Linked DNA regions of Lytechinus pictus. The protein of the gene in region 1 purifies or fractionates together with the protein of each later gene. This does not show direct contact. Links are inferred from orthologs where the notes say so. Each region holds a gene or a part of one and is shown on either strand. Other genes may lie near its edges.

Region 1 (11,343 bases):
ATTTTGATTTTATTCTGAACGACAAATTACCAGGGTTTTCAGTGAATTTCAAAATACATGCACGCAAGTAGTGCTCTTATTGTGACATCATTCCTTCGTATAAATCCTGAGAATGGTTAACAGCATAACCACATTAATAACCGTATCTCTTTTAAAGTGATTGGCAAACTTCATTTAAACTTTAAACAGTACAAATTCCTGGGATCTCATTTGTACTTCAAAGATTAATACATGATCTTCTTAACTGCGCTTGGGATTCATAAATCTTTAATTCTTCAATTCTCACACACAGAGCACATTATCTTGTTAAAAGTCGTCTATCTACAAGAGAATAGGCCTCTCATGATAATGAACATGGGTAGCACAAGTGTGAAACACAAGAATCTGATGAATTCAGAATCCTGATGGTTGTCTGCATGCATAGACCATAAGTGGATTGTTAATCAACAAGTGTAACTTGAGAGAAGTTTAGCACATCAATTTTCCTCCAGGGGCCCGTTTCTCAACACCTGGACAAGTTAGTCATATCTTTATCCACCAACCACGGAGATAGTTCCAATCTTACTAAACCTGTTTCTCGAAAGGCTTCCTAACTAGAATACCTTGATATCGATACTATCGGTAAAAAGAGCAGACGAGACGTAGCCTTAGTCATAAAATAGCATAATATTAAAAAAGAAAAATTATGACAAATTTGCAAATATTGTGATGAATTGGGAAATACATCTTTTTAAAATAATGGCACATGCAAATTATGCATCATACATACTTAGACCATGAATATTGGAGCACTCAATTGCTGAGAAAATTAAATTATGAATAAATCACTTCATGACTAGAAAATCACATGTGGACGTTGAGATGGGTACCCCCGGGACATCGAATTTTGATAGTTTACGAAAGTAAACTATAACGGTTTTCTTTGTAAAATGATGATAATTATACGCCCTTCTACGATTCCAAACATCATCAAAATATAGTTTAACAAAAACAAAAATAAATCTTTGAAACTGAAACATACGATTGACATATTCTATGCATGAATTAGAGATATAATTTATCCAAATGTTAATAGGGGTCTGAAAATGACAAATACGAGTCCAGTTATGGATGGCCTGACGTTGTAGAATCTTTATCGATCAAATCATTTTACTATTTCAAACTGAATGGTTTTGTGGCGTTTTACAAACAGTTTTTATAGTTTGTTTTTATTAGAATTATCATTGAATGCATTATTCCACTCGTTTTTGTGATGTAATTTCATACTCTATGATTGATTACCTAAGACTATTATTTTCAAATCTCTAGGCACTTTTGCTTGTCATAGTCTACCCACGTGATGCCACTACGTCATTAAGAAAGAAGTTATGACAGGTTCGGAGGTGTCATAAATATTTAGTGAGGTTGTTGTACCCGATCTTGGTAAAGAGGGCTTCGTGAAACGGTTAGCGGACAAGTAGCTCACTATCTCCGATTTAGTCAAGAAGTTAGACTTATGACGGTGTTGAGAAACGGGCCCCAGAAGTCTGATAATTCACACCACTAAGTGTTCCAACAAGGAAGAGATTTACTTCTGCAAACTACCCCAATGGCATGACACTGAAAAATTATACGTACATGTACCTCAGTCTCTGTTTCCTGTTTTGTAGCTTCCTGTTTTACCCTCTGGCTCTGGGGTTTTTCTTCAACTTTTGGAGAACCATGGACTGATGATGATTTAAATGAAGATGATGATGATGAAGATGAAGCCATGCCCTTTTTATCCTTCATTTTCTGTAGTTGATGAGCTTGTTCCAGAAGGTCACTCATGTCCTCTAAAGGAGGTACCTCTGCATGAAATTTGAAAAAAAAGTTTGTGTGATGAGGTTAATTAGTACAGACCCAGTTTATAATTTGGGGTTTTAAAATAAGAAAATCCATTTATTAGGACAAAAAAACTCTTCGCAGTTCATGGGTTCCGTAACACAAAGGTTAGCAATTAATTGTATGCTTGATTTTGACGACTCATTGTACATAACAGATCATAGATAGATGGTTTATTTGAATCAAAAACATATAAACAATAAGTGTACGAATCTCCATGCGTCGTAGTTTGACAACTAAATTGTGCATTGGATTACAAAAGTATTTTTACATGGTAAACTTTCACATACTATTAATAATGAAACTTAGTATAAGGCAACATTTAACAGTGAGATAAATTAATTCAAATTAAAAAAAGGGATAATAGAGAAGAGAATGAAAATGGAAAAGAAGGAGGATTATAATAAATCGATTAACTTAACATTTACATATGAAATATGTAGCGATAAACAAGTTAGAACATGTCAAGTTCAACCCTGAAAATAATATTTGCATACAGGTATGTGGTTATTGTGAACTAAATAAGCCGATATGAGGTAAAGTTTTGAAAGTGAGTAGGCTATCATGTAAACAAGGTGAAATAATCCTGATTAAAATACAAACTACCATTTCACATCATGCCAGTGGATTGTACATAGTAAACAAAAATAGAAGAGCGGCAAGTTTTAGTCGCAAAATTTGTATTATTACATGTTGAAGTATTACATCATTGCATTTTCAATTTCGAATAAATAATATTATTACAAATGAATTATTACATTATAAAATTACAAAATATTATATCAAAATTTTGTAAACTTATTACAATTATAAAATGTATTCATAATTTCAAATTGAGTAACAAAAACACATTACCAATATTATCAAATCCCGATCGTCAGTCATCAGGTTTGAGTTTATCCTCTATTAACATAGGGTTCAAATAGAATTCAATAATTTTGTCGTGAATGGAATGGGGCTGTTTTTATATCGATTAGTACGGCACCTCGGCTCAACATAATGGTGCGTTTGTCTCAGATTTCGTGTAGGCCTGTCTTCAGTGAACCAGGCATTACCTAGGCCTACTTCAGTTCTAGATGCTTTGATTGAAAAGTTATTTCTCAGACTCAGAGACCTATATAAAGCCAAGGGGATTACTATTTACTGGCACAAAACTGCTCCTAATATAAAAAAATAATACATAACATACCTTCAGCATTGAATTCCTCCATTGTTTTGTTTCAGAGACAGAGTGTCGTGGGCGTGGGTATGTTGACTTCTGTCTTTGACTTTGAAATGAAGTCTCGAGTCTCAGTCTATGATCTTCTTGGCAACACCATCAACAAAACTTCAAAAGGCACAATCACAAGAAGATAAATATGATGAATCTAAAGTGTTTTATACAACACATGTATAGATCCTTGACAGCTGATTGGATGAAAGCGTGTCACATGACATTCAGACGAATCAGCTATAGCACGCTAAGATATGCTAGCCGTGCTATAGTCGACTTTTGCACGCTCGTGCTATAGTCGACTATAGCACGCTGAAGTATTTAAAATGAGCCAGCACTGCAAGATCCCTGGGCACACTGAACCCATGGACATGCCCCGTACACGTTAAGTGAATTAGCGGTATACGCGCGTAATCACGTTTTCGTATCTCTGACCGATGTACGTAGCACTGCGCATAAACGTTGCTAAGCTGAACACAATGCGCGTACGTACGTTGCTAAGCAAATTATTCCCAGGGTACGACTGCGTACCTTCTGGATTTCCTTCTGGATTTTATGGAATTCGTTCACAAATTTGACCTCATGGATCTATCTATGTTGAAAGTACTTGACTCTCCTGGGATTATTAGTTTAAATCTACTGACTCCCAAAAAACAACATTGTAAGCAAAATTAAAGACCTAACGCGCGTTAGTCATAAACTAGACCTATGGATCTAGCCTATCTAGTCTGAAGTGTAAGCTATCGGTGTTGTATAAAACAAATATTCAATGTTGTATTCGTGCGACGTTCCGAATATTACATTCGTTGCAAGTTGAAACAGTCTATTCAACTCCGCTTCGCGTCGTTGAATAGACTGTTTCAACTTGCACACTCATGCAATATTCGGAACGATCGCACTCATCAACTTTGAATATTTGTATAATAACTAGTAGTTGAATGATAGATCCAAATAGGCAATAGAAGTAAGAATAGGCATGATAGGAATGATAGGACAGCTCGACAGGACAAACATGAAACAATTCAAAAGTCAAGATTATTTAATTATAGGGGCCTAGAATTTCAAAAATTTCACAACACAATGTGCTTGTGACGCTGACGAGTTTATTCAAATAAATAAGATAGTGAATTATCTAATAACTCGGTAGAAATTGGGGGCGACTTACATGGTGTAGCTAATTGTGCCGGACGTCATGTACTGTGCGCTGCAAGCTCCAGCGGAATTCGTAGTGCGCGTCGCGCCAGCCGCCGCCCGGTCGGCCGGCTTCGACTCGCGCTCCAGCTTGCTTGGGTATATACGGTAAAGGCTGGGTCCACGACGCTGGTGCCAGTCATGGCAACGTAACTCCTCCCTCTTTTATTTCGGGGAACTCCCCGCTCTGCTCAGTTTGGAAGGAAGAGTGGATGGAGGGTGGAGGGTGGGGTGGTCGTAGCGGATCCGGTAGTGGGTCGGCAATATAGTCATGGCAGTAGGCCTACCTCTTTTGCCTATCAGATCTTTTTATTTCATTTTTTTAATTATCAGTATTTTTTTTGGTAAACCATTTTTTTTTTACTCTGCATTCAATCTCCGGGGGAGGGTCATTAAAAAGGGGCTTATCCAGGGTCGAAATGGGCCTTAACATTAGCATGTTATTATTTTTTCAATGACCAATTTGTCTCTATACAGTGAGAAACTTTAGAGGTGCGACTTATTTAAATGACAAGTCCACCCTAACGGGACCCTAACAAAAGTTGTTTTAAATTGAAAGATGAAAATCCAACCAGTACAACACTGAAAATTGTATCAAATGGAGTAAAAGAAGTGACGTTTTAAAGTTCGGTATTGATGACATCGCTAACTGACTATTTCTTTTGTATTTCGAATGAAATGTGAAATATTTCAAATTCTCCTCGTTGTCATGTGAAACAAAAGTTTTATTCGTCCCTGAACATGTGTAATCACCAATGTTTTAACAATTTGTGGATCTTTCAAGTTTGTCATTATTGCCAAAGAAAAAAGGAATACAAAATTGTGCAATTCAAACAATAAAAAATAGGGAGGGAGGCCATCATCGACTCTCTCATTTTCACATCACTAAGTTATGGGTGTAGGCCTATATTACAACTGGTTTTTTTTAATAAGCGAAACTTCATATGGCATAATCCTCATGGCTGAATTTAATTCGGCATAATGACTATGCTTGTTTGATTATTCTCTATTGATTCAAATCAATTAACACTTTTATGAAATGGACTTAACCTTTAAGAATGCAAAAGAATTCTGGACCCAGACTCCATGCAGGTCTAAACAAGTAGCGGATCCAGGGGCGCCATTTTTACACAAGTGTGCCCCCCCCCCTTATTTGGAAGTCGGGGAACCCTTTTTTGGGGGGTGTTATCAAATTCTGGACGAAAAGCCCTTCAATTTTAGGTGAAAAACCTTTTTTTTTTTCTTGCGGATCAAATGACATTTATTTTTAGATGAAAACCTTTTAGGGATCCGTCCCTGGTCTTAACTATAATGCTTTCAGGGATTCGGACGCCCGACCCCCTCTGACCCTCCCACCTTTGAGAGTCATAGTCAAATGTTATTTTTTAATGTAAATACGCTGTTCTTACGCAAGTGTGCTCCCCCTTTCAAAGTTACAACAAATATAACTGAAGACCTTTTTGTTACGTGAACAAAATGATCTTCAGTTTTTAGTGAAACCTTCTTTTTTTCTTTTCTATTTTTTTTACTTGTCAAATTTTCCTCGGGAAAATTTACCCCCCCCCCCCCCTCCTTGGGAAATCCTGGATCCGACCCTGCAACGGTCATACTCACTCGATCTCCTTACACATCGACGGTATCAGTGCTCACCAAAAATTGGTCGAGGTGGGAAGTAGGGTAATGAGCCAAATTTAGGAGGTCAAACCCAAACTCGTGGAGGCCCTACTGAGACAAAACTGAAAAAAATTCACGAGCGAGGGAGCAAAAACATGATTTTGTGCTAATTTTGTGATAGATTTTGACAGTAGGGGCCTATATAATCCTTCACTATAGGACCTAGCTTAATGGGAGGTTTCCTTTTCATTCTCCCCTCATTTATAGGGGTCGTGCGCGAGGTTTTATATCCCCTTCTGTAAGCCACTATTGTGAAAGGGGACAGTTTCGTGGGTCTGTTGCCCCCATGCAAATTGCCCCCTCCCCTAAAAATAAATAAATTGATCTAAAAAAATAATATATAAAAATGTGTTTATATGTGCAAAGAGATTCATGTGGCTGTATATTTTTCAATTATGATGATATAGAATAAACTGATTCATATATGTTATTCTTACTATAAGTAGGCCATATATAGGCCCTATTTCATGAACGCCGGTGTCACTACAATAATGGATTCGCATGCATTGCAATTTTCAGCGCCAAGCAAGCGAGCGATCCGAGCGAGCTAGATCGCCTATATTGAATTCGTGGATTCAAGCCTGAGGAAAACTGGAAAACGTGAACAGCTGTTGGATTATGCGTTCATTGTACCGCTGCTAAGGCTGCTATTTTGATCTTAAAGGTAAAATTATTCGATTCAGGAATTCGAATTAATATGCGTATGATTGCTCACTTAAATTTTGTAGTTTGTTCGACAATTTATGGCATTTATCATGAGTGCAAAATAATTGTCAAGAAAACTCAGTCCCACATGCGTAAATTTGTGTTGTCTCCTTCTGGCAGTTCTGCCATTCTTCTGCCTAGCCTGCGGCTGCGCTGGTGATGTATACTAATACTAACCTCGCAATACGTGTGTGAGTGCTGGTGATGAGACAATGATGATGTCTTTTTAATGATAATGGTTGATGGCAGTAATCCTTATATAAATGGTGATGAATATGATGGAAATGATGATTATGTGGTGATGATGAATATGATGGTCACGTGCACTCACACGTATTGCGAGGTTAGTATTAGTATACTAACCTCGCACCACGAACCGCGTTTGGCAGTGGATTTCTAACTAGTGGGTCGCGCGTGCTGGGATCTCACTTCTTGGGTCCACAACACACGACTTCTATGGCTTGATTTTTCTGTGCGCGGCGGCATGTAATGAACCCTTGGGTGGGTCACGTGATGACGATGGTGGTAATGCTAATGATGATCATGATGACGATGGTGATGATGAAATTGATGATATGGTGATGATGGTGGTGATGGTGGTGATGATGATGATGATGATTGATGATATATAACAATTTTTAACATGTTGATAATGACTATGAATATGCTGGAGATGAATGATGATGATGGTTGGTGGCAGTAATCCTTATAAATGGTGATGAATATGATGGAAATTATGATAATGAAGATGATGGTGATGGTTGTGATGATGATGATGGGCAGTTCCAGGGTTACGGAGTGACATTCAGAAACAAGTTTTTAGCATTCAAACAAAGATATCACCCATATTTAAATATTTATTTGCAAAGAAATGGTACCTGACAGTAGTTGCTGAAACCCACTTTTCAAAATAATAACATATTTTGATCCACTGAATTAAATGAGATATGAATATTCATAATCATGGTTACGGAGTGACGGAAAATGGACATGCATATTTGAGGAGAAAAATATATTGATCAAACGCTGTGAACTTTAAATGGCTATCACAATGTTGAGTTATTGATTGGATTCTATGTTCTAGCTTTAATATGCTGCATTACATTAAAAAATTTGTGTATTTTTTCATTAATTACAACTTAAAACATAAACCCCATACCCGGTTACGGAGTGACATCTGAAATATTCACACACAGGCAACGTAAAATGAACTTATATTTAGAAATTTTCTTTTGATATGATGTAAAAATGATTACCTTCAGATTATCGAAAAGAAAATTTTACAAAACAAGCAATAGTTTTCTGTTAAATTGAAATTAAGTAAAAAACAATATATGTAGTCCCATGTATAGAATTTTTTTGTATGGTTTGGACTTTGGATTCTCCTATAAGGAGATGCATAAGAAAAAAAAATTGTGGCTAATTATGTTCCCCTTCTGTATTTATGAAATCCCATATGAGTTTTAATAGAAAAGTTTGCTCCAGATTTAAAATAGAGCCAATATAAATTTTTGGAAAATGTCCAGTTTTGCTTGGAATTGCCCTGATGATGATGATGATGATAGATTGTGAATGGTGATTATGATGATGATATATATCATGAATCTAGTGATGGAAATTGTGATGATACTTTGTCTTTAAACATAAGGAAATTAAACATTTTTAATGCTTAGTATTATATTTCCAGTTTATCTATTTGTATTGTTTAAGACTTAATTTTTAGCTTACACTGTACATACTGTGTTTCTATCAGAGCTTGATACATCAAATTTCAAAAGCAGTATGCAAGTACATACATGTACATGTGTCCAGCATTGAAAATACACAGGAGCGAGTTCTAATTCCAAAATTTTTATCATAACTTTAAATAAACAGAGCCAATAAGATTTTGGAAAATATTCACTTTGCTTGGAATTGCCATCTACACAGATCTACTTTTTGACCAAGTTTATTTTTCTTTGTGATTATTAAGTATTTTACGGCTATCTAATGTGCCCAATAATCCTAAAATTGGCAACATAGAGCGTAGCATGGTAGCAGAGGTATAAAATTTCTACAGATTGGAAATATAAAACCTTCAAATAAAAAGTCAAATCACCCCAGAAAAATGTTGATTTGAATCAATAGAGAAAACTCAAACGAGCATAACGCTGAAAATTTCATAAAAATCGGATGAAAATGAGAAAGTTATGATATCTTAAAATTAGGCTATGATTATTTTTCACCAAACAGTTGCATTGTATACACAACTCAATGCGATGCAAACGACAGAGTCGATGATGTCCCTTACTATTTTTTTTTATTGTGGTATATAATATTACAATTTTTACAGATTTGACAATAAGGACCAACTTAAATGAACTACAAAATATTAAAACAAAGGTAATTCTACATGTTTATCAAGGACATCTTTGTTTGACATGACAATTGGGAGAAAATTAAAAATATAATTTTTCATATGATGATATACATGTAGTTGGTGATGTCATCAGTCCCCCCATTTGCGTACCGACCAAGATGTGCATAACTGTTTGGTGAAATTAATAAAAACTTTACAATGATGTCATAAATTTCTTATTTTTCATCCAATTTTGATGAAATATTCAGTGTTATGCCTCTGATTTTTATCCTTTTGGATTTGTCTTTTAAAGGGATGGTCCAGTCTGGATATATTCATATCTCAATAAATAAGAGTAAAATTTACAGAGCAAAATGCTTAAAATTTGATCAAAATCGGATAACAAATATAAAAGTTATTGAATTTTAAAGAGTTGCATTATTCCGGTGAAACAGTTCTAGGTATGTCTTTATGAATATTCATTAGGTGTGCTGATGATGTCATATCCCCACTTGTTCTTTTGTATTTTATATTAAGTTTATTTAAAAAAATCTACCCCCCAAAAAAAAAGCCTAATTGGATTGACAACTGATTAAGTGCATTAGTTATTTATTGCCCCAACTTATTTCATCATAATGGAACACATCATTTACACATTATGAAAAAATGAAACATTTATGATTTCATGTAATAACATATAAAAAAGGGAAAGTGGGGATGTGACATCATCAGCCCACCTAATGAATATTCATGACGATGTGCATATAACTGTTTTCACAAAATATTGATAAACTTTAAAATTCAAGAACTACGTTATTTTTTATCTGATTTTGATGAAATTTTCAGCATTTTGCTCTGAATTTTACTCTACCGGTATTTATTTACATGTAGATTTTGAAGAAATTTTCAGCATTTTGCTCTGTGAATTTTACTTTATTTATTTACATGTAGATATAAATATTTTCAGCCCGGACCATCCCTTTTAAAGTGTAAAGACATGCCATATTTGTCATTATTTACTGCAAACTTGCAAAATGTTTTGCTTTAATACTTTAATTTTGCTTTAATATTTTGAGGAAGTTCATTATGAGTGTCAAACTGCAATTTGTACAATGCTCTTCAGTTGCAGTTCTAAAATAATTTTGGTAGTCCTGAAATCTTACTAAGTCTTGCATAATTCTGCTTTTGTACATTCTGAAGCTTTCCTTGGAAAGACGATAATGAAATGAGTTACCAGTAGTCTGTCCTCAAGTACCCAAAGATCTGTTGACCTGACCTGACCCGACCTCACTGACCTGATCATGGAGGGGTTGTTTGGACAGATCCTTAAGGAGGCAACATCAAACAAGCATGCAGCTATACGAGAGGCCGTCAGCCAAGCACAAGGTATAGCATTGTCCTAGATACATTGATAAGTATTCTCAATATTATTTGTATACATTGTTATTCATTAATTTTTTTTTGCCTATGAATGTCTGGCTACAAAGAGCCAAGTGTGCTTTTCAATCATATTTTAAAATCAATTAAAACCTTCAAAGAAGATACATTTGACTATCAATTAGTGCTTCATACATGTATATCCTGGTCATGTAACACAAAGGTTAGAGATTAATTGTAAGCTTGATTTTCATGATTGATTGTACATTGTAGTCAATGGAATCAGTCGTAGAAAAATATTCTACGATCATTGCTAAGCTTTGTGATACAAGCCCCTGGTCATGTATGTAGTTTTTGTTTTTCTTAAAAGGCACCTTTTATTTGAAAGACATGCACTTTAATCTTACAATGGAATACATGTACAAGTAATCAATGCATTTTGGGAGATTTCATTTCACAGTCATGTAATTAAGTCATTAGTCATGAAAAAATCTTTATTTATTTATATTAATTCTCTCAAATCAATTTCTTGTAAATCTTATTCCATGGGACACAGTATTGTAATCTTTAAAAACAAGCATGAAAAAGGGGAAACTTCATTCCAATTGTCATTAATTATCCAGTGTCCATCATCTCAATATGTGACTTTTAAAATACATGTACGTGGAGTCTGGTTGAACAGCAAAAAGTACATGATATCTATACATGTGCATAGTGAACTGTACTTATTGGACAAGTCTGTGCTGTACTTCTTTCCAGCATACTTGCACTTCCTGTGAGGTCTAGGTCCTAATATTTACAGATGTGTTTTGTTTCAAATGGTAAACATTACATTGGAAAGGTCAATGTGTTCATGAAGTTTGTCTTGCTCTTTTGACTTTTCTGAGTGGGATTTGCTATACATGCAAACCAGGAGGAGTTCTAATCCAGTTATTCTGCACGAACAGATGTACTGTACAAGTAATTTTGGTTTAGTTTTTAG
Region 2 (10,607 bases), on another chromosome or scaffold:
AAGCTCCTAGAGCAATCTTGTGTAAGGATGCGGGAAGGAAATCAAAATGGATGGAAGAAATGATAGAGGAATTGACAGATACAAGGATTTATGCAAGGATGATATTGTTGTTGGCTTCGTATCAACCTAAGCTCCTAGACAAATTGTGTGAAAGGGTGAGAAGGAAAATAGGATAGATGGAACAATCGATTGAGGGATTGACAGACAGATGGATGATGACACGGTGGTCATCACATACCTATCAAAGATGAATCACAGCAAGAAAAAATGAGCCAAGGATTGAATGAATGAATGAATGAATGAATGAAACATGAGATAATAATGGCTGGATTTATACAGCACTTTTTATCCTGAGGATACAGATAGATTGATGGAAGGAAAGAGGTAATGATCACACTTGGCTCACCATGATCGATACATGCGTTTGTCTTTACTGATGTTTTCCTACTATTCTGCCATCCCTTTAGGACAACAATCTTGAGAGGGCAGCGGAGTGGATATTTAGCCACGCAGACGAGCTGGATACAGCGATGGAGACAGAGCAATCCGGCGGACCCACGTGCCGGGATGGTCGCGAAAGTAAGTGAGCTTTCGGGTGCTCAAAAGGAGGATAAAATCGGAAGGAAGAGGAGATGGAAGTGAAATGAAGGAATGGAATAGAATAGGAAGAGGAAGAGTAGGATGAAGAGGAGGAAGATAACAAATGGATAATAGATGTAGGAGAAGAAAAGGAGGAGGAAGAGGAGGAGGAGGAGGAAGGATGGAAAGAGGAAAAGAAGGAAGAGGAGAAATAGATCAAGTAAGAGGAACCAAATAACAGATACAATAAATGCATGTAGGAGAAGAAAAGAGGAGGAGTAAGGGAAGGGATAATGGAAGGGAAGATGGGATGGGAGGAGGGAGGAAGAGGGAAAGGGAAAGGGAAAGGAAAATTGTACAGGAGAGGAGGGGGAGGATAAAGGGAGTTATAAAAAAAGCAGAGGAGGAAGAAATGTCTTATTTCCACTTCAGAAATTAATATTCCTTTCTATTTTCCAGTGTTCTATACTCTAAAGGGGGATAGTTATGGCAGCTTATCACGGTTGCATGATATATCAGTTCAGTTTGGAGGTGGGAAAATCTATTGCATTGTTCTTTTTTTATATGACAGAATACCAGCTGTTTGCATTTGTAAGTCACATGGGTACATCTACAGCATGCGGTCACTATGTATGCCATATCAAGAAAGAAGGAAGGTAAGGTAGTCCTTCTAATCATTTTTCCATGACAAAACAAAATGTGTAGAGAGTTTGCTGATGAAAATTATGTTCAAATTGATTATTATAGCATCCTTATTTCATATTCACGGATGTTGGTACAATAAAGAGTCACACTTTTCTCTATCTTCATTATGATTGACCAAAGCAAGATACTGTACATAAAAGCAGAGAATTAAGGTAGCTAAGTTGCCAATTTTTTAAAGATATTTAAAAAAAACTATGTCCTATTCATTTCAATCTTTACTTGTTTTGTATTTCCATTTTTTCATTTGTTTAAAAAACTTTATGTTCATTTGGTGTTCTCTTTTATGTTGATTTGCTGTCTTATGTGTATTTTACCTGAATTCAGAAAAATATATAGAGAAAGCTGAAGATGAAAACATTGAAATCAAATGTGTGATATCAAAGTTATGGTATTATATAATTTTGCATTATTTTAGGAGATAGCGATATGCATAAAATCGGGCAAACATATAATGTGTTACACAGTGTCATAAGAGCAAGCTGTCATTTAGCTCAACTATGTTACATGGATGAGATGCCCCCATAAGCACGTCTCCATTTCACATTTCTATGCTTTTGAAATAATGGAACCATTTTCTTTATATCACGTAATTCCTTAATTTTCTTTTCTATTTTCCAGATGGGTGATCTTCAACGATGACAAAGTTGCGCAATCAGAAAAACCACCGAAGGACCTGGGATACATCTACGTCTACAAGAGGCTTTAAAAATCTCCCAGGGCCGTGTAACATGAACCTTAGCGATTGATCATGTGAACGATTTCTATGATCGATTGCATTGACTTCTGTGTATGAGCAATCGTAAAAAAATCAGCCTCATAATCAGTTGTAAAGCTTTATGTCACAGGCCCAGAGCTCAGAGGCGCATTGTGATCAGTAAAACAAGTCAGGGTAGACCATATTCATGGACTGACGGAGAACAAACAGTAAACTATGCCTAACACAAATCAATATTACTTACAGAAATAGCTTCGACTAGGAAGAAATTTTAGCTACGTGAGATTCAAAATAAACTGCTCAGATGGGTGTTTCATAAAGCAGTTTGTAACTTACGAATGACTTTACACATGATGGATGACCCTTCCTTGTACTAAATGGAGCTGACTTAGTACCTGAGAACATGTTCTAGTCCTTTGTAAAATCGTGCATAAATTTTATAAGAACATCTTCATGAATCACCACCTCAAGTAGCAAAAAGATGCAATGGATGAAAATTAGATATCCTGTGAGAAAAAAAACATGCTTCTTTCAGAATACACTGATGTCAATGTATTATCATGTATTGCCTGACGTATCGCCAGATCCACGACACATGATGGCGCCTCCACTGGCGTCATGTTTTACATGTACCATTAAGTATGCAGTTTCAAAATATTTTAGCACAATGGAAAACATTGCTGCGCATTCTTGCATCATATCTGAACGAGGGTTTAATAGGATGAGTGTTCATGCATGGAATTTGGCCCTGAAGTAAACATGAAAGAAAAAGTGAAATATCTTTTGGGATGATGGAAATTTGTTCAATTTTGTAGAAATGCAACTTCTAGGGTGTTGGAAGAAACTTGCAAATGATTGCATGTCAATTATAGGTCCTAAAATCGATCAGTTGTCTTTTAATTAATTGCAAATTGGCAATTGATTGGTGGTCTGCATCTTGCATAAACAAAATGAATTAATTTGCTTTGGTTATGATTGATCTATCAAATGTGAATTTGCAACTGAAATAATATTAATATACCTCTTCAGAAGAAGAGATATATTATTGAAAATGTGAGAGTTGTATAACTTTGTGATCAATATGAAATATTTATGAGAAAAAAATGACTTTGAACTGAATATATACATATAAAAAACAATGTTCTATTTACAAATGAGGAACAAATAATACTCTTTGAGATGAACAACGTCAACTGAAAGTATTTAAAAGAGCTGCCCTTCCCTCACAGGATGTGTGGAGGTATAATTCATGCAACAGTATGATTGTTAAAAACTGACAAAGCCCTCTAGTGAGCAATTTAAAATAATAGGTAACTGTAGTAAATAGGGGAAGATATACATTGGTGCTCAAAAGTTAGTGAACCCTAGTAGAAAATGAACATATTGAAAGTGTTCAAGTTTACCATGTTTCAGATATTTTATTGTGAAGTCAAGTGATGAAATATTACATTCAATCAAAATTTGTTTCTCTGGGCTTGCTGAACGTTGTAGTGTTGTTGCCTACATTCAACACTCAGCATGAAGGAGTGCATTTTGTGGTGGGGTTCACTAACCTTTAGGCACAACTGTATCTAATACATGTACGAGTAATTTTGCTTTAGTCAATCAAAACTTTTGAGAGCTCAAAAATCTGTTCAACTTTGGAGAAATTTGCTAAGAATCGGTATTTGATACATATTTTGCACATATAATGTGGTAAAAAAAATTGTTTTAAATTGGGCAAATATTTGACGCCAAGAAGGTTAACTTATGCAAGGTTATCTGATTCATATACTAGTAGTCGAAGGGATGTATCCAAGATGTCTAATGAAGAAGATTACAGATAATATTTTGTTGGTAGGTATTTTGCAACAAATTTTGTCAATTTAAGAACTCCTAGTTGGTTACAAAGTGCCCCCCGTATAAGTCACACTTACTCTCTGTCCATGATAAATTGTGATTGATTTTAGTCCATCTCAAGAAGACCAGTGTTGCTGTCAGTAATGTCTTCTTTTGATCAAACAGTTGCTCTGGGGTGATGATGTTTGCTGAACGATTTTTGACAGTCTACATGCTCCTTTTAGTAATGATAATGGTGATGAATGATGATGGTGATTCTGATGTCAGATGATGATGACGACGCCAATGTTTCTTCCAGGCAGTTAGAAATGTCCAAAGATAATGAAAATAAGTTTAGCATGTCTTGATTATTGACGAAGGAATTTTCCACTCACAGCTGATTTTGTTTCTTCATCTTGATATTTGAACAGACCTTTCCATTTAAACAAAATAAAATTTACCATACAGGCATAAACCAGAAAAGTGATTGTTTTGAGAGATGTCCATCTATCACTAAAAGGGCTTTCACAATTGCTTGTGCAATGGTCACAATATATGTTGCACAGAATAGCAACGGTTATAAGCAGTCGCACCACCAATTGTGAAAGGGGCTGAATATGTACTTTTTCTATTTTCACAAGCCAAAATGACAAGAATATTTCTCCCTGAATAATTTGAATGTTTTTCTCTTGTAGATTTTCCCAGAAAGCATGGAGAAAATTGTATTGTAGACCTAGCTGATGATGAAAAAAAAATGATAAAAATCAATCGTTTATTGTTCGAAATAGACATGAAATGAAATACTCCGAAAATTTGCTTTGCCCAATCGATCGTGGGCCCGGCAGCCACTGGGCAGCGCCAGATCGACGAGGCTCTATCCCTTTAATCATTTAACGCCAAACAGGATAGCAGCAACTCCCATCTTTTAACGTCTTTTGGTCTGACGCGGCCGGAGTTTGAACCCCAACCTACCGGTTGTGAGACGGACGCTCTACCAACCGAGCCGACACACCGGATGAACATATTAAAGAAGTTGTTTCATTGGGTATTTCAAACAACAATATTTAACAAGATTGCAATGTGTATGTTAGAGGATATGTATACAAACAAATGTTTTATTAAATTGTTACATGTATGTGTATGTGGAATACATTGGGAATATTGTTGCTTGGATTTTGTATATTTCTAATTTTCATGCATTAAATGCAGTACACGTCATGTTTTAAATCTCCTTGTGTATTTGATTTCTAAGCAACTAGTTATACTGGGAAAGAGGTGAGAGAGGCAAGAATAAGCCAGTTCGTAGTTCCTTTCTGCGCATGATCAAAAGATTCTATGCATGATCAGAGGAAGGTCATTTGTACTAATTAAAGTGACATTGTGGTTTAAAATCTAATGAGATAAGCACCAACTTTGATGTCTTGATTATTCATATATTCTTTTGAATTGTTTTTTTTTCATTTACATCCACAAAAAACAACAATGCGTCCACGAACGACTGGTATTTCAGTTTGCCAAGTACATTGTGCAACATGCTATGATTTGCATTCAAGTAGGAATGCAACAAATACCTTCATAAAGTGTTCATTGGTCTGCTATTCTAGTCACCTGGTCTGTTCAATTTCTTCATCCTGCTATGTAAGGCAAGCTTACGTAATATCTTGCTTTGAAATCTGCCTATCATAATGAAAGAAATGAAAGGTCATTTGACCAAAATTGTCCATGGTGAAGTAACTACGAACTGGTCTATTGGAAGAGTGAAATATTTTTTAAGAGAAATATAGAGAGGTGAGGGGAAAGAGGAGGGGGGATATGGGAGGGAGGGGGGGGGGGGGCAGGGGAGAGGGTCAGGGACAAGGAGGGAGGGATAGAGACAGAGTGAGAGAGATAGAGGCAGAGAAATAGAGAGGTAGTGTTGAAGTACGAGGATGGGTGCAGAGAGGAGAAGGAAGGGGATGGGATGGAAAAATACTCGGATGAGAAAAGAAAAAAAAATGTTTATATGAACTTTCTATATCTTATTAATGAGTTAGTTAATTGTTTTTTTCTTTCTTCCAGCTATTGGCTCTATAAAGTTATCCTAGCATTTCTATTATCAGATAGACTACGGTAGATATGCCAAACAAAAACGCAAGTCTGAAACTCTGATTAATAAGTAGGCTTGATAATGTCTGAGTCTGTACTGACTGCAGATCGACCCAACAATTAAAGTTATATAATTTGTTATTTCAAAATTTTTAAGTGAAAATTATTATTACTCGTCTGAAAAACTTATTATATCGTCTGTCTGGAGTCAGTTTCGATGGCGGGCATGAAGCGATCAAACATATTATATATAATGAAAAGTGTAACCCCCGGTAGGGGTAGGTTCCATGTCTTGGCCTATGCAATGATGAAAAAGAAGGGGGTATGATGAAATATAAAGAAGCAAACGCGGAGTATACACAGCCAATCTATGTAACAGTCTATTTTGTAATACCAATTTCTAATTTTGGGGTGAATGAATTATTGATACAAGATAACCATACAATCAAAGTTACATTGATAAGATTTACTGAAATATTGAAATTATATTTACATGTTTTTTTCCCGTAGCTTCTCTTATTTTACTTTTTGTATGTGTTTGAAATTAATTTCTTTCTTACACATCGAAAAAAGTTTGCAAATAAAGTCTACCTACCAGATTGCGCATGCGTGAATTACTATGAGCGGTTACGTGACTATGAATAAAGCCATGTGTGTGTTATGCCAGTAATATCGTAACACAACACAAAACATAGCGGGTGGGACTGCATTACTGAATTACAGCGACTAGTCACTAGTAGCACAGTGCATCGGCGTCACCGAAGGTCAGCAAAGATGGCCCAGAAAATTGGAGATTTGCTTGGAAGATTAGCTAAAGGACCCGCAGGACTTGGAAAAGGAGTTCAATTCCTCATTGGGGCAGGAGTAATAGGTTATGGAGTGAAGGAATCAGTTTACACAGGTGAATCGACGGTGCACGATTTTTATTTTCAATTTTTTTTTTAAATTAGGGTCTAAAACTGGTTTCGCACTCTAGATTCGACTTGTTTCAAGTCAACATTCTTTCAATCATATTGATGCAGGGTGACCAGATTTTACGAAATGAAATACGGCGCAATCGATAAAGCACGATGCACGCGTGGATCAACAGAGTCAGAGAGGAAAAGAAAGAAAATGAAGGGGGAAAAATAAATAAAAAAAAAGAAAGTTAGACTTAGATTTTAATTTTAGAATAAAACAAAGAAAGATGAAAGAATAAAAGAAAGAAAAAGGTTTCCGTCATTCTTTGAAATGAATAAAAAAGAAAAAGAAAAAGAAAAGAAGGGAAGATCAAGATGAATGAATGTATACATGTATTTGAATGTGTGAAACTGAAAGAAAAAAAAAAGGAGAGAAAGCCAAGGACATGAACCCGGGGGGGGGGGGGGGGCACTTACATTGACGAGTGGATACCATGCGCGACCAAAAAAACGTGAAAAGGATGTCTTTTTCAAGATAGGGCACGTTACGTACGTAACGTGATAAGGGTGTCAAAAACACTAAAATAATGAAAAAAGGGTATCTATTTCGCTAGGAAAGTTACGTGTTTACGTGTTTTTTTGGTCGCGCATGGTATCCACTCGTCGATGTAAGTGGCCCCCCCGGGGTACGACCCCTAGCTTCCACACCTCGTGCAAATCGGACTCTAAACACGTAGTGTTGGGGCAAAAAGGACATCCTTTATAAAACATTTTAATTTTGTTTTATCATCCCCGCAAATTTGACCCAGTTTAGGGTCAAATTTGCGGGGATGATAAAACAAAATTAAGGAGTCATCACTATGTGTTTATAGAGTACGATTTGCACGAGGTGTGAGGAGGTGGCCGGGCTGTACTAAACCCAATGATGTATAGGTAAAGGTCCGTGGCATATAATTTAAATATCGCTATACTTGTTTAGGGCCTAGGGGTTCAATTCAGGGAATACTTGCCAAGAGTATCGTTTTGTTTCCAATACTTGTTAAGGGTAGGGTTTCACACGCCAATACTTGTTAACGGGTGCATTTTCAGAATATGGAAATTACGTGTTTAGGGTGCTTTTCGAGACCCCATGTGGTTGCGCATGGTATCCACTCGTCAATGGAAGTGGCCCCCCCCCCCCGGGACATGAACAGTACTAGGCGCTCTGCCAATGGGACTTGGGAGACTCTCCATTACACGCACATGAATGGGGCGTAATCCCTGGCTCCGTGCGTGAAGAGTAAGCACACATTAGTGAATGATTTTTACTCTCTAAAAAACATTAGGAGCCTCTTGGGAGTCCTGGCTACCCTCACCCCCCCCCCCCCCCCCCCCCGAGATGAGCCTCAGCCTAGCCCTAGGCCCTAGCGCCTCTCAGCGCAGGCCGTGACCGTGATGCCATCAATCTCCCAAATTGGAGACTTGCTTTGCAAACGAACAAAAGAAACAACATTAACAAAAGTGGAATTTTTTCCACCCAAAATTTTGCCTCACTGAGGTCAGAAGCCCATTTGTTTTGTGTGTGGATGACAACAAAAATCCTTACCAAAACAAAAGTAGATGTTGAATTTTCAAAGTAGACGGTGAAAAGGGGTAATTTTTCATGAGGAATCTGCTCATCACAGTTTTATTTGCCGCCAAGCTAACCCTTTTGCAGCAAATGTAAACAAAGAAAGTTGGTCTCCCAAACTGGAGACTGTCTCTGAAATTGGTCTTTTGGATACCCAAATTCTTTACAAAAGTCTCTGATATTGGAGATAATCTCTCTCATGGGAGACAGTCTCCCATATTGGCCGTGCACCTCTACTGATGAAGGAAAAAGAAAGTAGGCCTAAGAAAAAAAGGAGGAAGAAATGAGTAAAGTAAAACGTTTACTTCATTCTTTGAAAGAAACAAAGAAAAAAGACAAACAGGAAAGGAGCCGAAGGAAAAGAAAGATGAGGGAAAAGAATTGAAGGTTAAAAAGGATGAAAGTATGAAGGGAGGAGAGAATGAAAAAAAAATGGAAGGAGAGAATAAATGAAAAGAAAAAGGAGTGGAAGTGAGAAGGAAGCAAAGAAAAGTTTAAGAAAAGAAAGAAGGAAATTAAATAAAGGAAATTCAAAAAAGAAGGAAAAATGAACATATAGATAATAGAGAAATTATTAGGATAAAAAGCTAGCTGCTAGGAAAGATTGGAAATAAAGATAGATTGAACAAAATAGGCAAGCAGGAAGGATAGAAGGATGAAGAAAAAATTAAGGATACAAAAAAAAAAAAAAAAAGAGAAAGGAAAAAAGTTCAAACTTCAACCAAAGCAAAAAAAAAAAAATTTAAAAATTGTTTGAAAACTAAAATGTTTTAGAAATGAATAAAATTTCAAAGTGTAACATTGTCAAACTTAATGAGATGAAACAATCGCGGCATCACACACACAGCCATCTCTCATCCCATTACAAGTTTGCACCGATCACAACAAGACTCAAAACGAAAGCTGAAACAACAAGATCTGAAAACTCAATAACTTGCTCCTCTGATTACATCACCAAATCAGTAATCTGAGAAGCCATAATATAATTGTAAAAATTTCCCAACGATTTTGTGATTATTTTTGGTGGAAAACTGTTTATCATGTGAGATTGTTTGTACCATTGAGAATCTGCTCCAATCCTACATAGCCTGCCACACACAGGCAGATGGCCAGTGCAGGCCACTTGCATGCAGCATAGATCAAGTTAGATTTTTCAGTCTTGTGGATATCATCTAGACCTGGCTGTGGTGTAGACTGACATTACTTAAATATCTGCTGTTTCGGAGGAATTTTTCTTAACATTTTCTGATTTTTTCAGTCCTCCCAAGTCCAACATGACAAAGACAGAAGACTCCCATAGGTTCGCTTGACGCTTAACTATGTCGGGAAAAGGGTACGCTACCTCACCCTCTGTGATTTCTCTAAAAAAATCTTGCTTTTAGTGCCTGGGGGCTGGGAGAAAAAAAGCGCCGATATAAAAATTAAACATGTTATTTAAATTTAAGAACAATCAGCTTACAGGTTTCTCGAAATATGTGATGTAAAATCAACATTTTTGTCTCACCTGCATAGCAGAGTGAGACTATAGGCGCCGCTTTTCCGACGGCGGCGGCGGCGTCAACACCAAATCTTAACCTGAGGTTAAGTTTTTGAAATGACAGCATAACTTAGAAAGTATATGGACCTAGTTCATGAAACTTGGCCATAAGGTTAATCAAGTATTACTGAACATCCTGCCTGAGTTTCATGTCACATGACCAAGGTCAAAGGTCATTTAGGGTCAATGAACTTAGACCATGTTGGGGGAATCAACATCAAAATCTTAACCTAAGGTTAAATTTTTGAAATGTCATCATAACTTAGAAAATATATGGACCTAGTTCATGAAACTTATACATAAGGTTAATCAAGTATCACTGAACATCCTGCATGAGTTTCACGTCACATGACCAAGGTCAAAGGTCATTTAGGGTCAATGAACTTTGGCCGAATTGGGGGTATCTGTTGAATTACCATCATAACTTTGAAAGTTTATGGATCTGATTCATGAAACTTGGACATAATAGTAATCAAGTATTACTGAACATCCTGTGCAAGTTTCAGGTCACATGATCAAGGTCAAAGGTCATGTAAGGTCAAAGAACTTTGGCCACGTCGGGGGTATTTGTTGAATTGCCATCATATCTCCATAAGTGTATTGGTCTAGTTCATAAAACGTGGAAATACGAGTAACCAAGTATCACTGAACATCTTGTGC

What was found.
Region 2: the proteins of brefeldin A-inhibited guanine nucleotide-exchange protein 3-like (region 1) and prohibitin-2-like purify together in Homo sapiens (affinity purification with western blotting; 4 studies listed by BioGRID). This does not show direct contact. The link is inferred for Lytechinus pictus from reciprocal best matches to the Homo sapiens genes ARFGEF3 and PHB2.

Annotation. Positions count from the first base shown.
Region 1 is NC_087248.1:3,904,904-3,916,246, reverse strand, and holds the start of brefeldin A-inhibited guanine nucleotide-exchange protein 3-like, read left to right. Parts: upstream 1-6,501; 5' UTR 6,502-6,605; intron 6,606-10,184; 5' UTR 10,185-10,285; coding exon 10,286-10,370; intron 10,371-11,343. Other genes in the region: uncharacterized protein LOC129259162, read right to left, coding at 1,618-1,829, 3,053-3,074. UniProt on the Homo sapiens protein: Participates in the regulation of systemic glucose homeostasis, where it negatively regulates insulin granule biogenesis in pancreatic islet beta cells. Also regulates glucagon granule production in pancreatic alpha cells.
Region 2 is NC_087258.1:12,809,084-12,819,690, reverse strand, and holds the start of prohibitin-2-like, read left to right. Parts: upstream 1-6,464; 5' UTR 6,465-6,676; coding exon 6,677-6,803; intron 6,804-10,607. Other genes in the region: ubiquitin carboxyl-terminal hydrolase 5-like, read left to right, coding at 468-579, 1,151-1,235, 1,903-1,990.